Linked DNA regions of Diceros bicornis minor. The protein of the gene in region 1 interacts with the protein of each later gene in a pairwise test. Links are inferred from orthologs where the notes say so. Each region holds a gene or a part of one and is shown in the gene's direction. Other genes may lie near its edges.

What was found. The genes of interacting proteins can lie anywhere in the genome.
Region 2: the proteins of ARRB2 (region 1) and AGTR1 interact in a two-hybrid assay, tested with the Homo sapiens proteins (2 studies listed by BioGRID and IntAct, with this or other methods). The link is inferred for Diceros bicornis minor from reciprocal best matches to the Homo sapiens genes ARRB2 and AGTR1.

Annotation. Positions count from the first base shown.
Region 1 is NC_080757.1:11,499,570-11,506,964, forward strand, and holds the start of ARRB2 (beta-arrestin-2), read left to right. Parts: upstream 1-2,654; 5' UTR 2,655-2,882; coding exon 2,883-2,950; intron 2,951-5,878; coding exon 5,879-5,909; intron 5,910-6,538; coding exon 6,539-6,599; intron 6,600-6,709; coding exon 6,710-6,754; intron 6,755-6,970; coding exon 6,971-7,167; intron 7,168-7,395. UniProt on the Homo sapiens protein: Functions in regulating agonist-mediated G-protein coupled receptor (GPCR) signaling by mediating both receptor desensitization and resensitization processes.
Region 2 is NC_080741.1:6,215,236-6,222,630, reverse strand, and holds the start of AGTR1 (type-1 angiotensin II receptor), read left to right. Parts: upstream 1-3,008; 5' UTR 3,009-3,371; intron 3,372-7,395. UniProt on the Homo sapiens protein: Receptor for angiotensin II, a vasoconstricting peptide, which acts as a key regulator of blood pressure and sodium retention by the kidney.

The DNA of each region.
Region 1 (7,395 bases):
TGATTGTCCCAACCCTATTTAGTGAATCTGCCATTATTTCTCTATTGACTCGAAATGCTACCACGTGGATCTGTATCTGGACTCTATTCTGTTTCATTGCTCTGTTTAGTATTATTGCACCAATAACACAATTTTAATTACTGTAACATAAATTATCTTATCTGGTAAGACAAATGCGTGCTATACTCTTATTTTTCAAAAATTTCCTGGCTATACTTGAAAGTTGATTCTTCTGATTATGTTTAGAATCAAGTTCCTCCCAAAAAAGTCTCGTTGTTATTTTATTTTATTTTATTTTATTTATTTATTTATTGTGAGGAAGATCAGCCCTGAGCTAACATCCATGCTAATCCTCCTCTTTTTGCTGAGGAAGACAGGCTCTGAGCTAACATCTATTGCGAATCCTCCTCCTTTTTTCTCCCCAAAGCCCCAGTAGATAGTTGTATGTCATAGTTGTACATCCTTCTAGTTGCTGTATGTGGGACGCGGCCTCAGCATGGCCGGAGAAGCGGTGCATCAGTGCATGCCCAGAATCCGAACCGGGGCTGCCAGCAGCGGAGCGCGCGCTCTTAACAGCTAAGCCATGGGGCCGGCCCCTTGTTATTATTTTATATGGCGTTAAATTTATAGACAATTTGCAGAGAAATGACGTCTTTATAATGATGGTTTTTCCCACCTAGAATATGGTGTATATCTTTCCTTCTTTCTGGCCTCCTTTACTATCTTTCTAAAGTTGTCTTTATATTAGTATCTTTTAATACAGTTGTTTTCATGCCACACAGACCACTTATCTTTCAGTTCCAAAAGCAGTTTAGATATGTAGCAATACACATCTCATTACCTTCTGATCCTGACCCTTTGACAAAAGTGATTCACGAGTCGAAAAGAATCTAAAACTTGAGAGGGGTGAAGAGTGAGCTTAGAAGGTGGTGATAGAACTGAGGGGTAGGGAGGTGGCAGCTGGTGGACAAGGTGTGTGTTTGAACCTTAAAGATGATCTCAGAAACTGTCTTGTGTGCATAGAAAAGTGGAGGGAGAAGTGTGAAGTTAGTTCATTTGGGAAAGATGGGGAGTATGGGAAATGAGATGGAAGAAGAAAAAATATTTTAGCTCCTTAAGTCCAGAAATGTCCATCATCCATCACCCTCCCCAAGTCCAGTCAATTTTGCCCTAGAAATGACTCTTCAGCCTCTTCTCCCTCCCACTCTATCGTTCATCATTTCCCCTTGACTGGTTTCAGTCTACAGCAGCCTTGCCCCACTCCCTCCACCCTCCACATTGCCCAGAACTATCTTCCTAAAAGAGAAATCTCATCATGCCACTTCTTTGCTTAAAAAACCACTACTGGATCCATGTGTCCTCCTCCAGGGCAGGGCCCCAGTCTCATTCCTTCACCTGCTATACAAAATCTTTGTTTTGACTCTGTTCCAGTCTCCTCAGCCTTCTCTCTCCTGCCATCTAACCCCACAAGCACTTCAGAACAGGATGTGCCTGGCCTTTCTCTCTCTTTGGAATACCCTTTCTCAACTTCTGCCCACTATTCAGAAAGATTGTCCTCAAATGTCTCCTCCTCTGTACAGCCTGCACTCTCTCCACCCCCGCTCCAGTCAAATGCTGGTAGTTGCTTTGTCTTCTGAGTCATACCTCCATTATAGCATTCCTGGGATCATAATACCAGTTCATGTGTGTCCTCACCTATACTACGAAGGCTGGAGCCATGTTAATTAATGTCTGTGTCCCCATCGCCTACCACAGTGACTGGCACAAAATAGGCATGGATGGATGGATGGATGGGGAGGGAGGGAGGGATGGCTGGGTGGGTGGGTGGGTGGATAGATGGGGAGGGAGGGAGGGAGGGATGGGTGGATGGATGGGTATTAGTTGGAATGAGTGGATGGAGATGGGTAGTTAGAGAAATTAGAAAAGTAACCCTGCGAAGATCAAAAATAGACACCAGGGGGAGCTGACACACCACAATAAAGAAGTGGGAGGGCGATCCCAAGAAGGCTGCAAGCTCTGGGATGAGCGGGTGAGCGGCGAGCACTAAGGCAAGCACCACGCAACTAGAACCGCTCACCCACGTGTGTATCCCCTCATTCTCCTTCCCCGACTGTGCTTGAGCTCATTGCACCGCCTCCACCGCCACAGAGAAAGCAAACAAAGGGGAGGGAACCCCTGCAGGGCCCTGGATGCAGGGAGCCAATCAGAGGGCTGTAATCTTCTGGCAGGCGGGAGGCTTCGTTTAAGGGAGCCCAAGCAGTTTCTAATGGGGTGCGGAGGGACGGAGAGATGGGCGGGAAGAGCAGGGAGTAGACACAGCGCTGGCCGGGGAGAGATCCCTCGGGAAGGGTGGAGATAGAGCGCAGAGGGGGCGGGGGCGGAGCCAATCGCCGCCGGTGTCTGTGAGAAGAGGGCGGGCAGCGCCGCGGCGCGCGCGATCCGGGCTGACGCATCAGGCCCCTGTTCCCCAGGATCCGAGGGGGGGCGGGAGGGGAGGGGGAGAGGAGAAAGATCGGAGGGCGCGCGTGCGCAGTGGCGCGGGGAGGAGCAGGGACCTGGCAGCGGGCTAGGAGGCTGCAAGCGAGCCGCGAACTGGGCGGGCGGCAGGCGCGTGCACCATGGGGGAGAAACCAGGGACCAGGTAAGGCAGGTGGGGCCACGCGGCGGGACGTGGGCGGCGGCTCGGGGCGGGTGCTGGAACGGTCCCCAGACAAGGACACCGGGGAGAGAATCCGGGAGCCGGACGCCTGGGTCCCTAGGGAGCAGCCATCCGGGGCCGCACGCCTAGGTCCTCGAGGATAATGAGGGGGATGCATGCTAGGGCCCCTGCAGAAAGCGAGGGCTGAGGGGATCAGGAAGCCGGCATCTGAGTTCTCGCAGGGATGTGGGGGCCGGAGGACTGGGTTCTCCGGTGCAGGCTGCGATGCAGAGGCGGAGGAAGGAGGAGCAGGTGGCCGGTCCCAAGGGGTCGGGTATGGGCAAGCTGGATGCCGGGAGGGGGATTCCCCCCTAGACTCGTGCCGAGCCACTGAAAAGCCTCCTGTCCAATACCCCACAGGCAGTTGGGCTGCCCCCACCGTCCCGAGGGCCGGCCCCGCTTCCAAACTTCTGCCTTCCCCTGGGTTGCTAGGAACAACAGCTTCATCTTAGGGAGCAGAGTGCACGGCGACCCTCCCCGATTCTGGGCCTTACCCCTCTTCCCGGGGGTGAGGGGAGGCAGTATCTGCCCTGGGCACGCCATCCACTCCCCGGATGTTTTCTGTGCAATCGAGGCTCTTTCCTTCCACTGACAGCTCGAGTTCTCTTTTTTGGTCTCTAGCAAAATCCACTTCCTGTTGTGACCCAACACCCCTAAGGGGCCAGTGGGTGAATGCCTGAGTCCCTGGGGAGCAGGAGCAAAAGAGGAAAAGATTGGGGTTGTATGCCTCTATCCAGAGGGCATCAGGAATGGAGGCCTGGTCCTAAGCTGTCACTCGTTCTACAAAACACTATCATATCAGCACCCCCATAGAGTAGGAGAACTCAGGCTTCTAAGCACCAAGTCGACTAGTATTGGAAAGAGATGATCAGAAGGAAGATTAGTGTCCTGTATTAGAGATTAAACACCCCAGAGAAAGGGGAAGTCGCTAACTTGAGGGAGGGCCCCGATTTCCGTTATGTGGTTCAGGGAGGAGGACGGATGGACCAGAGGGGGACTGCTGACTTGGCACAATTCCCCACATCCCCATCAAATTCTGGGCCACAGGAAACGGAGAGAATAGCAGGAAGTGTGAGGGGGCACTGCTTCTGCTGCCCCCGCTCATTGGGCATCTCCCTGGTCACCCCCACACTCTGCCTCCTCAGTATACACATGCTGCTCCCCCACCCTCAGCCTGGCAGGAGGTTGGCTGGGTTAGGATCCAAAGGGCAGGTGCCCTGCAGCTGCTCCAAGGCAATTATTCCAAAGCCACACTCCGGTTGGCCAACTGACTGTAGCTGTTGCAGCCCTCTGCCAGGGCTCCTAATAGGAAGAAACACTGGGACAAAGAGGAAAACCAGAAGCAAAGAGGGAAGAGAGCTGGATGATGCCATAGCAACCAGCCCCCAAGTTGGGACAAGAGGGGGGTGCTTATTCCAGCTGCCACCATATCAACGTTTGCTCTCCTTTATTGAATGGGAATACCTGAGGACCTCCATACCCTTTGCCTTATGGCCTTTGGATAGCTTCTGGGAAGAAGGGGCAAGTGAAGTTTTTATAGCAGAAACGGCTGGTGGGATTGGAGAAGGGATGGACCAGTTGGCAGGATTTCAGTTTCTACTATCTGGGGACCCTTCCCAGGGATCAGATCACTGCCGAGCCAGAGTGGATTGGGAGTGGATTGTAAGGTGGTGCAGCAAAGAACAAGCCCACAAGTGGCCAGAGCATTGGAGTAGCTAGACACTTCACTACCATCCCAGCAATGAATGGAGTCCATGCTTAAATTGTTTCAGCAACTGGGAAGCAAATCCCCTTCAATTCAACAAACCTGATGCCAATTACAGAGGCAGAGTAGTGTAGTCAGCCGTCTGTACCTGCGGGCTCCATGTCCGCAGATTCAACCAACCGCGGATCTAAAGGCCTACAATGGTCGTGTCTGTACTGAACATGTACAGACTTTTTTTCTTATTGGCTAAACAATACAATATAAATGCTATTTACATTCTATTAGGTATTATAAGTAATCTAGAGATGATTTAAAGTATACGAGAGGATGTGCATAGGTTATATGCAAATACTACCCCATTTTATATAAGGGACTTGAGCATATGCGGATTTTGGTATCCCCAGGGGTCCTGGAACCAATCCCCTGCAGATGCCAAGGGACAACTGTATAGTGGTTTAGCGATGAATGCATGGACTTGGAGCCAGACTGCCTCTGTTTGTATGTGAATTCCACCATTTACACTGTTACCTTAGGCAAAATACTTGACCTCTCCTGTACCTTAGTTTCTTCAACTGTAAAATAGGAATATTAGGACCTCCATCATTGGGTCATTAGGAGTATTAAATTAGGTGAAACACTTCAAACAGTGCTGAGCATGGAGTATTCACCCAATAAATGTTAGCCAGCATCATCTTTGTCATATGGCTGGCATGGTGCTGGGGATGCCTAAGTGAATAAGGCCTCTGATGCTCACAGTCTGTCTAGTGAGACAGATGATACACAGCTAACTGCCCTTGTTTGCTATCACACCACAAGTAAAACATAAACAAGGTGTGACAGAAGCCCAAAAAAAGGAGTGACTAGGGTCTGGGTTGGATCTGCTTTCTAAAGGAGGTGATATCTGAGCTGGGCCTTGAAAGACAAATAGGCTTTTAAGCTGCTGAGATCAGAGATGCGGACAGTTGGAGGTTAATGGAGTAGGGTCACACTTAGGTAGTGCCTACAGTAGAGCACTTGAGAGGCAAAGGCCAGGGCCATTGCTCTTCCAAGTACTCCAGCTGTCATTGGAGCTGGAGACCAGAGAAGATGGAAAGAGGGTTAGGTCTTACACAGACATTGCTGCGACCTGCCGTTCAGGTTCCCCTGGGGGAGGTCCTTTGGGAAAAGCCTGGGTGGTTCCTGTGGCAACCAGTGGCCATTGCCATGGGAGGAGAGGAACTAGTGAGGGTGGACCAGGGAGGGGTTGCCATGGCACCCAGCTTGGAGGGGCTGCCATGTTGGAAATATTAAGGACCTGTGGTTGCCTTTCCTTCAGGAAGAAGTGGGAGGGGCTAGGGCTGGGCAAAGCCCCAAAGCCTCCAGGCAGGAATCCTGGGTGAGCTCTGTTTCTCAGGCTGGGGAGGGAGAAGGTCCTGGCGTGGGGGTCCCTGCTGAGTCTGAGGGAGGCAGTGGGGTTTCCCTTTCTGTTTTGTTAGGGTCTTCAAGAAGTCGAGCCCTAACTGCAAGGTGAGTCTCCCACAGTACTCCTCCTCCCAACCCTCCCTGGGCCCTTACAAGGCCTAGCCTGCCCCTAGACGATCCCCAACCCCTAGCTCCCCACTTCCTGTGACAGCTCAGAGCCGACTTCCTCCCCTCCTGAAGCCCCTTGCCACAAAGGCTGCTCCGCCTGAGCCAGCTACAGCGCTGGGTGGGGACAGGCCTGGGTCCCTAAGCAAGACCAACAGGGAGGAGCCAGAAGCCCATGCCTGGAGCCCTCTTAGGAGCCGCCCAGGGTGCCTGGGAACAGTTAACAGCCCCCCAGGCTATGGCCTGTTTATCCCAGAGCCCCTTGAGGGGAATGAGTGAGGCTGACAGCCTGCTCTCTAACTGGCTGCCTAGGGCTGGGTTCTCCCTGAGAACTCACACACTTGAGTGGTGGGCAGAGGTGTGAAAAGATTTTAGGGAGCAGCTAAAAAGCCTCAAAGTGGCTAAAAACCCCCACCATCCTCCCCTTCCAACCCTACTGGGAGAAAACCAGGAGAAACTCCTTCCAGATACCCCAGCCTGGGAAGACCAGGGGCAGGGCAGCCACATTTGAGGGCTCTGATGCCCTGCCACCCTCCTACCCAATCTCCCGTTACCCTCTCCATCCTCAGCTCACCGTATACTTGGGCAAGCGGGACTTTGTAGATCACCTGGACAAAGTGGATCCTGTAGGTAAGTGCCCCAGAAAGTGGCGTCACATCCCCGAAGAGGGGAAGAAGTTCCTGGGCCCAGGAATGGAGGAGAGGCCCTGACAGGAAATGAGCTCATGTGTCCCCTTCCAGATGGCGTGGTGCTCGTGGACCCTGATTACTTGAAGGACCGAAAAGGTACTGGCCCCAAGTCCAGAGGCCCAAGGGAAGACAGGGAGGTGGGGAAGGGAACTGGCGTTGAGAGGGGCCCCAGAGAGACGGAGGGCTGAGGCGGAAGCCAGGCGTAGGATTCAGGCAGGATTCATGCTGCTGAGGAGGGGCAACCACTGCTAGGTACTGGGGGGACCGAGGAAGAGGGGCTCCTGACCACCTCACCTTGCACTCCCTTGCCAGTGTTTGTGACCCTCACCTGCGCCTTCCGCTATGGCCGCGAGGACCTGGATGTGCTGGGCTTGTCCTTCCGCAAAGACCTGTTCATCGCCACCTACCAGGCCTTCCCCCCAGTGCCCAACCCGCCCCGGCCCCCCACCCGCCTGCAGGACCGGCTGCTGAGGAAGCTGGGCCAGCATGCCCACCCCTTTTTTTTCACAGTGAGGATGCCCCCCACCGTCTGCAGGGCAAGGGGTCTGGGACTGTGTTTGGGGGGTGAGGCACCTATTATGGGCAGATCTGGAAGACACAGTAAAGAGGGGCCCTAGACCCACCTCCTTCAGGGTCACCCTGCATTCAGGAAGCCCTTGCCTCTCTGCCTCCTCCCTGGGGCCCCTTCCTTCTTCCTTTCTCATCCCCAGGAGTCCTTCCCCAGCCTCTTAAATTGA
Region 2 (7,395 bases), on another chromosome or scaffold:
GATAGCTCTTATTATTACTCATATACTCTAGAAAATTCCAGCAACCCTCTTTCCCATACAAATGATAACATTTTACCAAAGTACTTTGACACATGTTGTTTCCTTGGTCCCTAGTTCAAAAATCCTATCCATCCTTCAAGATCCATCTTAAGCAACATTTGTTCCAAGATACATGGCTTGTATGGCATCAAAGTCAGTCTTATATCAGTGATTTGTTTGCATTTGTGGGGATTCTTGCCATGTGTCAGGCACCCAGCACATCAGTGAAATGAGACAGGCCCTGACCCAGAGGCACAACCAAGTGGGGAAGGGGATGTGCCTCCCTCCTGGGTTAGCACAGCCAGGGCTCTAGGGCCATGTCTGCCTCCACTTTGCATTCCCGACAAGTTCTCCTGCAGAAACTTTTGCTTACTACACATTTGATTACATTTTAGTAAAGCTGGTATTTTTAATTTTGTGAGAATTCAAAAAATATGTTGCCATATGGTAACTCTATGCTTAACGTTTTGAGGAACTGCCAAAGTGTTTTCCAAAGTCGCTGCACCATTTTGCATCCCCACCAACAGTGTATGAGGGCTCTAACGGCTCCACATCCTCACCCACACTTGTTATTATCTGACTTTTTTTTTTTTTTTGAGGAAGATCAGCCCTGTGTTAACATCTGCCAATCTTCCTCTTTTTTTGCTGAGGAAGACTGGCCCTGGGCTAACATCCGTGCCCATCTTCCTCTGCTTTATATAGGACGCTGCCACAGCATGGCTTGCCAAGCGGCGCACCGCCACGGTGGAGTGCATGCACTTAACCGCTTGTGCCACCAGGCCGGCCCTATCTGACTTTTTGATTACAGCTATCCTAGTACGTATGAGGTGACATCGCGGTGTGGTTTTGATTTGCATTTCCCTGATGTCTAATGATGTTGAGCATATTTTCATGTGCTTATTGGCCATTTGTCCACCTTCTCTGGAGAAATTTCTATTCAGATCCTTTGCCCACTTTTTAATTGGGTTATTTGTGCTTTTGATATCGGTTGGGAAAAGTTCTTTATATGTTCAGGACGTATCCTTATCAGATATATGATTTGCAAGTATTTTCTCCAATTCTGTGGGTTGTCTTTTAACTTTCTTGATGCTCTTCTTTAAAGCACAGAAGTTTTTAAGATTGGTGAAACCCAATTTATCTATTTTTCTTGTGTTGCTTAAGCTTTTGGTGTCATATCTAAGAAGACTTTGCATAACCCCAGGTCACAAAGATTTACTCCGATGTTTTCTACTGTTTTCTAATTTTACCTCTTTTATCTAGGTCTATGATCCATTTTGAGTAAATTTTTGTGTATGGTATTATAAGGGGTCCAACTTCATTCTTTTGCATGTGGATATCCAGTTGTTCCAGTACAATTTGTTGAAAAGACTATTCGTTCCCCCATCGAATTATCTTGGCACCCTTGTTAAAAATCAATTGACCATATGTGCTGATTTAATTTCTGGACTCCATTCTATTCCATTGACCTATATATCTATCTTTATGCAAGTAACACGCTGTCTTGGTTATTATAGCTTTGTAGTACATTTTGAAATTGGGAAGTGTGAGTCTTCCAACTTTGCTCTTCTTTTTCAGGATTGTTTGGGCTATTCTGGGTCCCTTGCACTTCCATATGAATTTTAGGCTCACCTTGTTAATTTCTTCAAAAACAGTTTGTTGAGATTTTGATAGGGATCATGTTTAATCTGTATATTATTTGGAGATTGTTGACATTTTAATGACATTGTCTTCCAATCCATGAACATGAAGTGTCATTCCATTTGTTTAGGTCTAATTTAATTTCTTTCCTCAATGTTCTCCGGTTTTCAGAGCACAAGTTTTACACCCTTTTTGTTAAATTTATTCTAGAGTATATGATTTTTTTGCTCTATGGTAAATGTAATTTTTTCTTAATCTCATTTTTTTAATGTTCAATGCTGGTGTATAGAAATAAAACTGATTTTGTATACTGATCTTATATCCTGAAACTTTGCTGAACTCACTTATTAGCTCTAATAGTTTTTCAATTGATGCCTTAGGATTGTCTAAACACATGACGATGTCATCTGCACATAGAAATAGTTTTACTTCCTTTCTAATCTGGATACGTTTTATTTCTTTTTCTTGCCGGATTGCCCTGGCTAGAACCTCCAGCACAGTATGGAATAGAAATGGAGAGAGCTGACATCCTTCTCTTGCTCCTGATCTTAGATGCAAAAACACTCAGTCTTGGGGGCCAGCCTGGTGGCGTAGTGGCTAAGTTCGCCCGCTCTATTTCACCACCAGGGGGTTCATGGGTTCAGACCTGGGCAGGCGACCTACACACAGCTCATCCAGCCATGCTGTGGTCGCATCCCACATACAAAATAGAGGAAGATGAGCACAGATGTTAGCTCAGGGCTAATCTTTCTGAGCAAAAAGAGGAAGATTGGCAATGGATGTTAGCTCAGGGCCAATCTTCCTCACCAAAAACAAAAAATGCAACTGTGATAGTATGTCCCATAGGAGGAAAGGCATGCTCACCCGTTCAATCTGTAACCCTGAAATTAATCTATGGGATCTATGATCCACAACGGTATCGTCCAAGTTTGAGTTACTCACAGGAAAGAGACAGAAGTTCCCTAATTCGTCCTTAAAAAGTTTTCCAAGTTTAAAAAAAAAGTCAAGGAACATTCCTCTCGGCGAGAACTGCTTCTCCTGTAGCCCCAGCTCTCTCCGTTTCGCGACCCCTCCTGGATGCGGAGCTACGAATCAGGTGAGCGCAGGTCTGATGCGTGACATTGGGGATGACTGTGGCATCACCCCGCTTCCGTCAGCATCTGGAGAGGGAGACGGTTGGGCCGCGAGGGTCTCCCGGGGCGGGGCGGAGGAGGAGGGAATGCAAAACAGAGCGTCGCCCCTGGAACCTACGGAGCAGCAACGCCCCTCGCTATAAATTTGGAGCTGCTTCGTCGCGGAGGATTCCAGCGCCTGTCAGCCAGACGCCCGGGCGGTGGGCCACAGAGCGCCTGGGCGGGCGCACGGCTAGCAGCTCTGCCAGGCGGGGGCGGCGATTGATGCGGCCCAACCCGAGCGGACCCCGGGAGTGAGGGCGCACGGCCGGACGCCGAGGCGGCGCGCGGAAGCCCCGGCACTAGCGCCGCCAGCTCGCGGCCCGACGTGGGCGCAGCGCCCCGAGCGCGGGTGAGTCGGCGCCCGCTGCCGGGCCCGGCCGGGGGCTGCGGGGCGGCGCGGTCAGTTGCACGTCCAGGTGTCCCGACTCGGGCGCTGTGCTGGGAGGCGCCCGGGGACCAAGGAGAGGGCGAGCGCAGTTCCGGTCGGCGCCCACCCGGAGCCGGCCGCCCTTCCCCAAGGTAAGGGGCGTCTGGGTTGGGAGGGAACAATTTGAGCTTGTTTCCCCCGTGCCCCAGAAATTTCATCCTGATTTGACCAAACTCTTTCGAGTTCAAGCAAGAATTCTGCAGAAATGGGGTGCAACCAAGCAAACTTTCTTCCCGAGGCTTTTAGCTAACTCTTCTCTTGTCTTTTAACCGTGACCTGAGTGGGAAGCCGGTATGACTCTGCCGGGCATCCCTTTAAAAGTTGTGCTACCTCTAAGGTGAAGTTAAAAATGTCCCCATCCTCCCTGTCTGCTTTCCAGGCGATGCCCCAGCTCATGTCCCCCTCTCCGCTCCCTGCAAACCATACCGGTGGATCCTTGGCACCGGACGCTGCCCCTACCCTGGACAAACTCTCCCACCTTCGGGTGTTCTCCCTGATTCATCAAATTGGGGCGAGGAGAAGCCGGGGCATCTCCACACCCTAATACCCACAGCCTCGGCCAGCGCACTTTTGTAGCTGAGGCGGGATTTTAGGAAAAGCTCTCGCTGGCTCCTTTCCTGCACCCCACCTCTCTAGCTAGCACACCATTCTCCAGTTCCTTTAAACGTCCAGCCCCGTGTCTCCACTGTGCTAGCCTGCTAAGGTCTCCAGAAGACCTCAGCAAGTCTCTCCCAAAGCTCTCCTGCCCATTGTCTTTGGGCAGCTACTGGGGAGTCGGGGCTGTTGGACCGTCTGAGGCTTCCTGACCTAATCTTCGCTTGTCGATGGCGTTATTAAGTATCAAAAACCCAGCAGCGGCCCTCAGGAGCTCTCTCTTCTGAGGTGCCTCTTTCCTCTGGGATCGTGTTTGGGACTTGGCTCCATCTATTTCTAGCGTCATTCAGGGAGAGAAGGCAACAGTGAGAGAAGTAAGGAATCTGGTGCTGCTGTTCTGTTTTGTAACTTTGTTGAGCAACTTGTGTCTCTTCCTGAAGATGCCTCAACCCCAACATGATTCTCTGGGCAGTTTCCACCTGACGGACCTGGGTCCCCAGGCATTTATTGCCTCTAGCATAAGCTGTAACCCCTTATAAGTCTTCCCCAAAAAAGAACCTGCCGGCTTCTGTTGTCTCCTGGAGTGTTTCCCCAGCTCCGAAGGCCCCACGTGGACACTCTCCTCAGGCTGTGTTGACTCCACCACCCTTCCTGGCCTGGAAGCACAGGGAGCAGGGAGTGGGCACTCCCATGTAACTAGCTGGGTGCTATTAGGAGAGTTATTTCACAACTCTGAACCTCAGGTCCCTGCCCATAAGTTTCCCTCCACTGATAAAATTCCTCGATTCCTTTTGTTTCCTAGTTATTGTTTGAAAAATAAAAGTGTAAAATATTTATCCTTTTAGTCCATGTTTGGGGTCCTCAAAGCTGTTTAAATCTCTCTCCTGGTGAATTATCTGCTCTGGAAAATCGTTAGGTTTTCCCATGCTGTCTCCAAGTGTCCTTCCCCAGATCACGGCTGGCAGTTCCTATAACCTGGCTTAAGGCTCAGGGAGTGGCCCCAAGTTGGCAGGTCTCAACATTTGTTAGTTGCATGATTATTCGTGTCAAGCCTGTTGTCTCTTCTGTGTCCCTCTTTTTGTGCTGACTTCACTGTGCTTTGTGCCCATTATGAGGCTTAATTTCTGGTTCGGCTCTTCTTTGACCTTAAACTGAATCAACTGCTCTGTCATCCAACTCAGAAGAAAACTGGTTTCTTCCCCTGATGCCAAGGAAGACTCATCTTCTCTGAGAAGTAGAAAGTGTCTTTCGGTCTCTGTTGCTTCAGCAATGCTCTGCATCCCAAGAGCTCTGAGCTTAAACCTTTCCTGTCCCTCTCCAACCCTGGTTCAGAGTACAAAAAAGGACAAAATTGTGGCTTGCTCAGGTTTCTTACTTTTTGTGTTTTTTCCTAGTTTGAGGTAAGATTTGTGTGTCTATAATTTTGTTTTTGGTTTTTTGCTGCTGCTGATTACTGTTGTTGTTATTACCTTGACTAATTATTTGCCCTATGCTAGAGGGAATATAATGAAAGAAAATTTAATCTGCTACTTACCCAAAGCCCAGGTAAAATACTTAGCTAAGACAGAGTTAGAAACTCATAGTTTAAATGCTTGATGCATGTCTCCTGCAGTTCTATCTGTGCTGTCACAGTGTCCTTTTCAAGTAGTTGAGTTGCTGTATTTTACTTTCAAATTTGTTACGGGGACGGAGATGGAGTCCCGTCACTCTGAGACGTCTTGGCTGGCTAATGCAGGCTCTGGCCTTTCTCCATGCTCACTGGTTTACCTAGTCCCTTTCCCGCTCAGTCATGATGGGGCAATGCCAGAGAGTCTCCCAAGTAGGCTAGCAAATTAAGAATTTTATTTAGAAGTGTGAAGTGAATCCAAGTGTTGTGAAGATTAAACAGCTGCCTTGAAGACACACGGTGGCAATAAACAAATACAGAACTAGAGCAACAAAACATGACAGAGTATCCGAGGCCAGGCTGGGAGCGCTTTTATCCCATGTTTATCTAGCAAACTGGACAAATCAGCTTTTAAACCCGTCACCGTTCGAAAGCGCTATTATTTTTCTTCAAGATAGTTCTAAGCGTTCTCTTTAAAAATTGCCTGAAGTCATTGGATTACATGGTTTGCATTTCTTTTCACATAGGTGCTTATTAAAACAGTATACTAAAACTCCCATAAGCAAAAATAAATTTTGTTCCATTTCTGCCTAAATTTAGCTATCACTTTACATTTTCTATTTTATTCACAATATGAAGTTTTTCTACCAAAAATCAACTTTTCAATGGCTTAATATATAAAGCCATCTTAAATCCAGGAGTATCTATAGGGATTTAAGGTAATATTCAACTGATTTGGCAAGTGAGTGCGATTATCCTATTAAAGCTCTAAAATATATTTCAATCACAGCAAAAAAAAAATCTAAAAGGATATAAATTTGCCAGATGTATCATGAGTTAGTGGCTACTTTAATGACAAATTTGACAACTGGAAGTAGAAAACAAAGTATATATTTAGAACAGTCATAGAAATGACTAGTGAATCTTGCTATTAGCTGTGGTTGTATTGACATTAAAAGTTTTGCCATCTTATTTTGATTCTTTCTCTTTTTAGCAGATGGTCACAGGGGGAAAAAAATCCCTTTAATATGAAAACCAAAATAGTCTTTCAAAATATTTTACATACTAACAGAGAATTCACTATACTGTAAATGCTGTAAGATTGTTTTATTTTATATTATTCTTGTAGTTCAATTTAGAAGAGTTTGGTTTTATTTTGTTTGTTTGCTTCCTAAATAGGTGTATCATCTAAATGTCTTAAGTAGAAATAAATGTCTAAAATCTGCCAGTTAGAGTTAGGGTTTCCTTCCTATACCGAAGAATACTTTAAATTGCTAGTCTTTAAATTGCTATACCGAAGAATACTTTAAATTGCTAGTCTCACGTTTCATTACTTTTCTAACATTTACAAGTTTGGAAAGTGGGTAAGAAATGGGTATGCTTTGTTTTTCATAATCTCATGGTGCCTTCATATTCCAAGTCCCAACTCTAGATGTCCTTAAAATTTTAAATCATAGAATTAATAATCATTCAGTTTGGGTCAACGTTTATGTGATTTCTTGTTCATTTTATACATTTATAAGCTACTTTGTTCTTCTCTAAATGATGTTAAAATCTTATTTAGATTGATGGATTTAAGTACTTCAGGTGGTTAACTTCAGCATAAAAATATTGGAGAATACAGATATGGTTGTGCACTCTTAAAGAGAGTTTATGATTGCTAATTTGCTCTAAGTTTTCTTTAGATATATTCCATTTTATATCAATCAAAGTTTCTCTTATCTACCTTGGAAGATGAAGAATCATGTCTGTGAAGTGTATCAACCATAGTAGAAGATACTTACAGAGGAAATACTATGGATCTGAGTGATATCAGGCCCTGAGGACATCCCAAAGTATAAAAATGGTCTTTGCCCTAGAGAGATGTTGGTCAAGCTAGTACATATTTACATATGGGTCTCTCTCATCATCTCAAT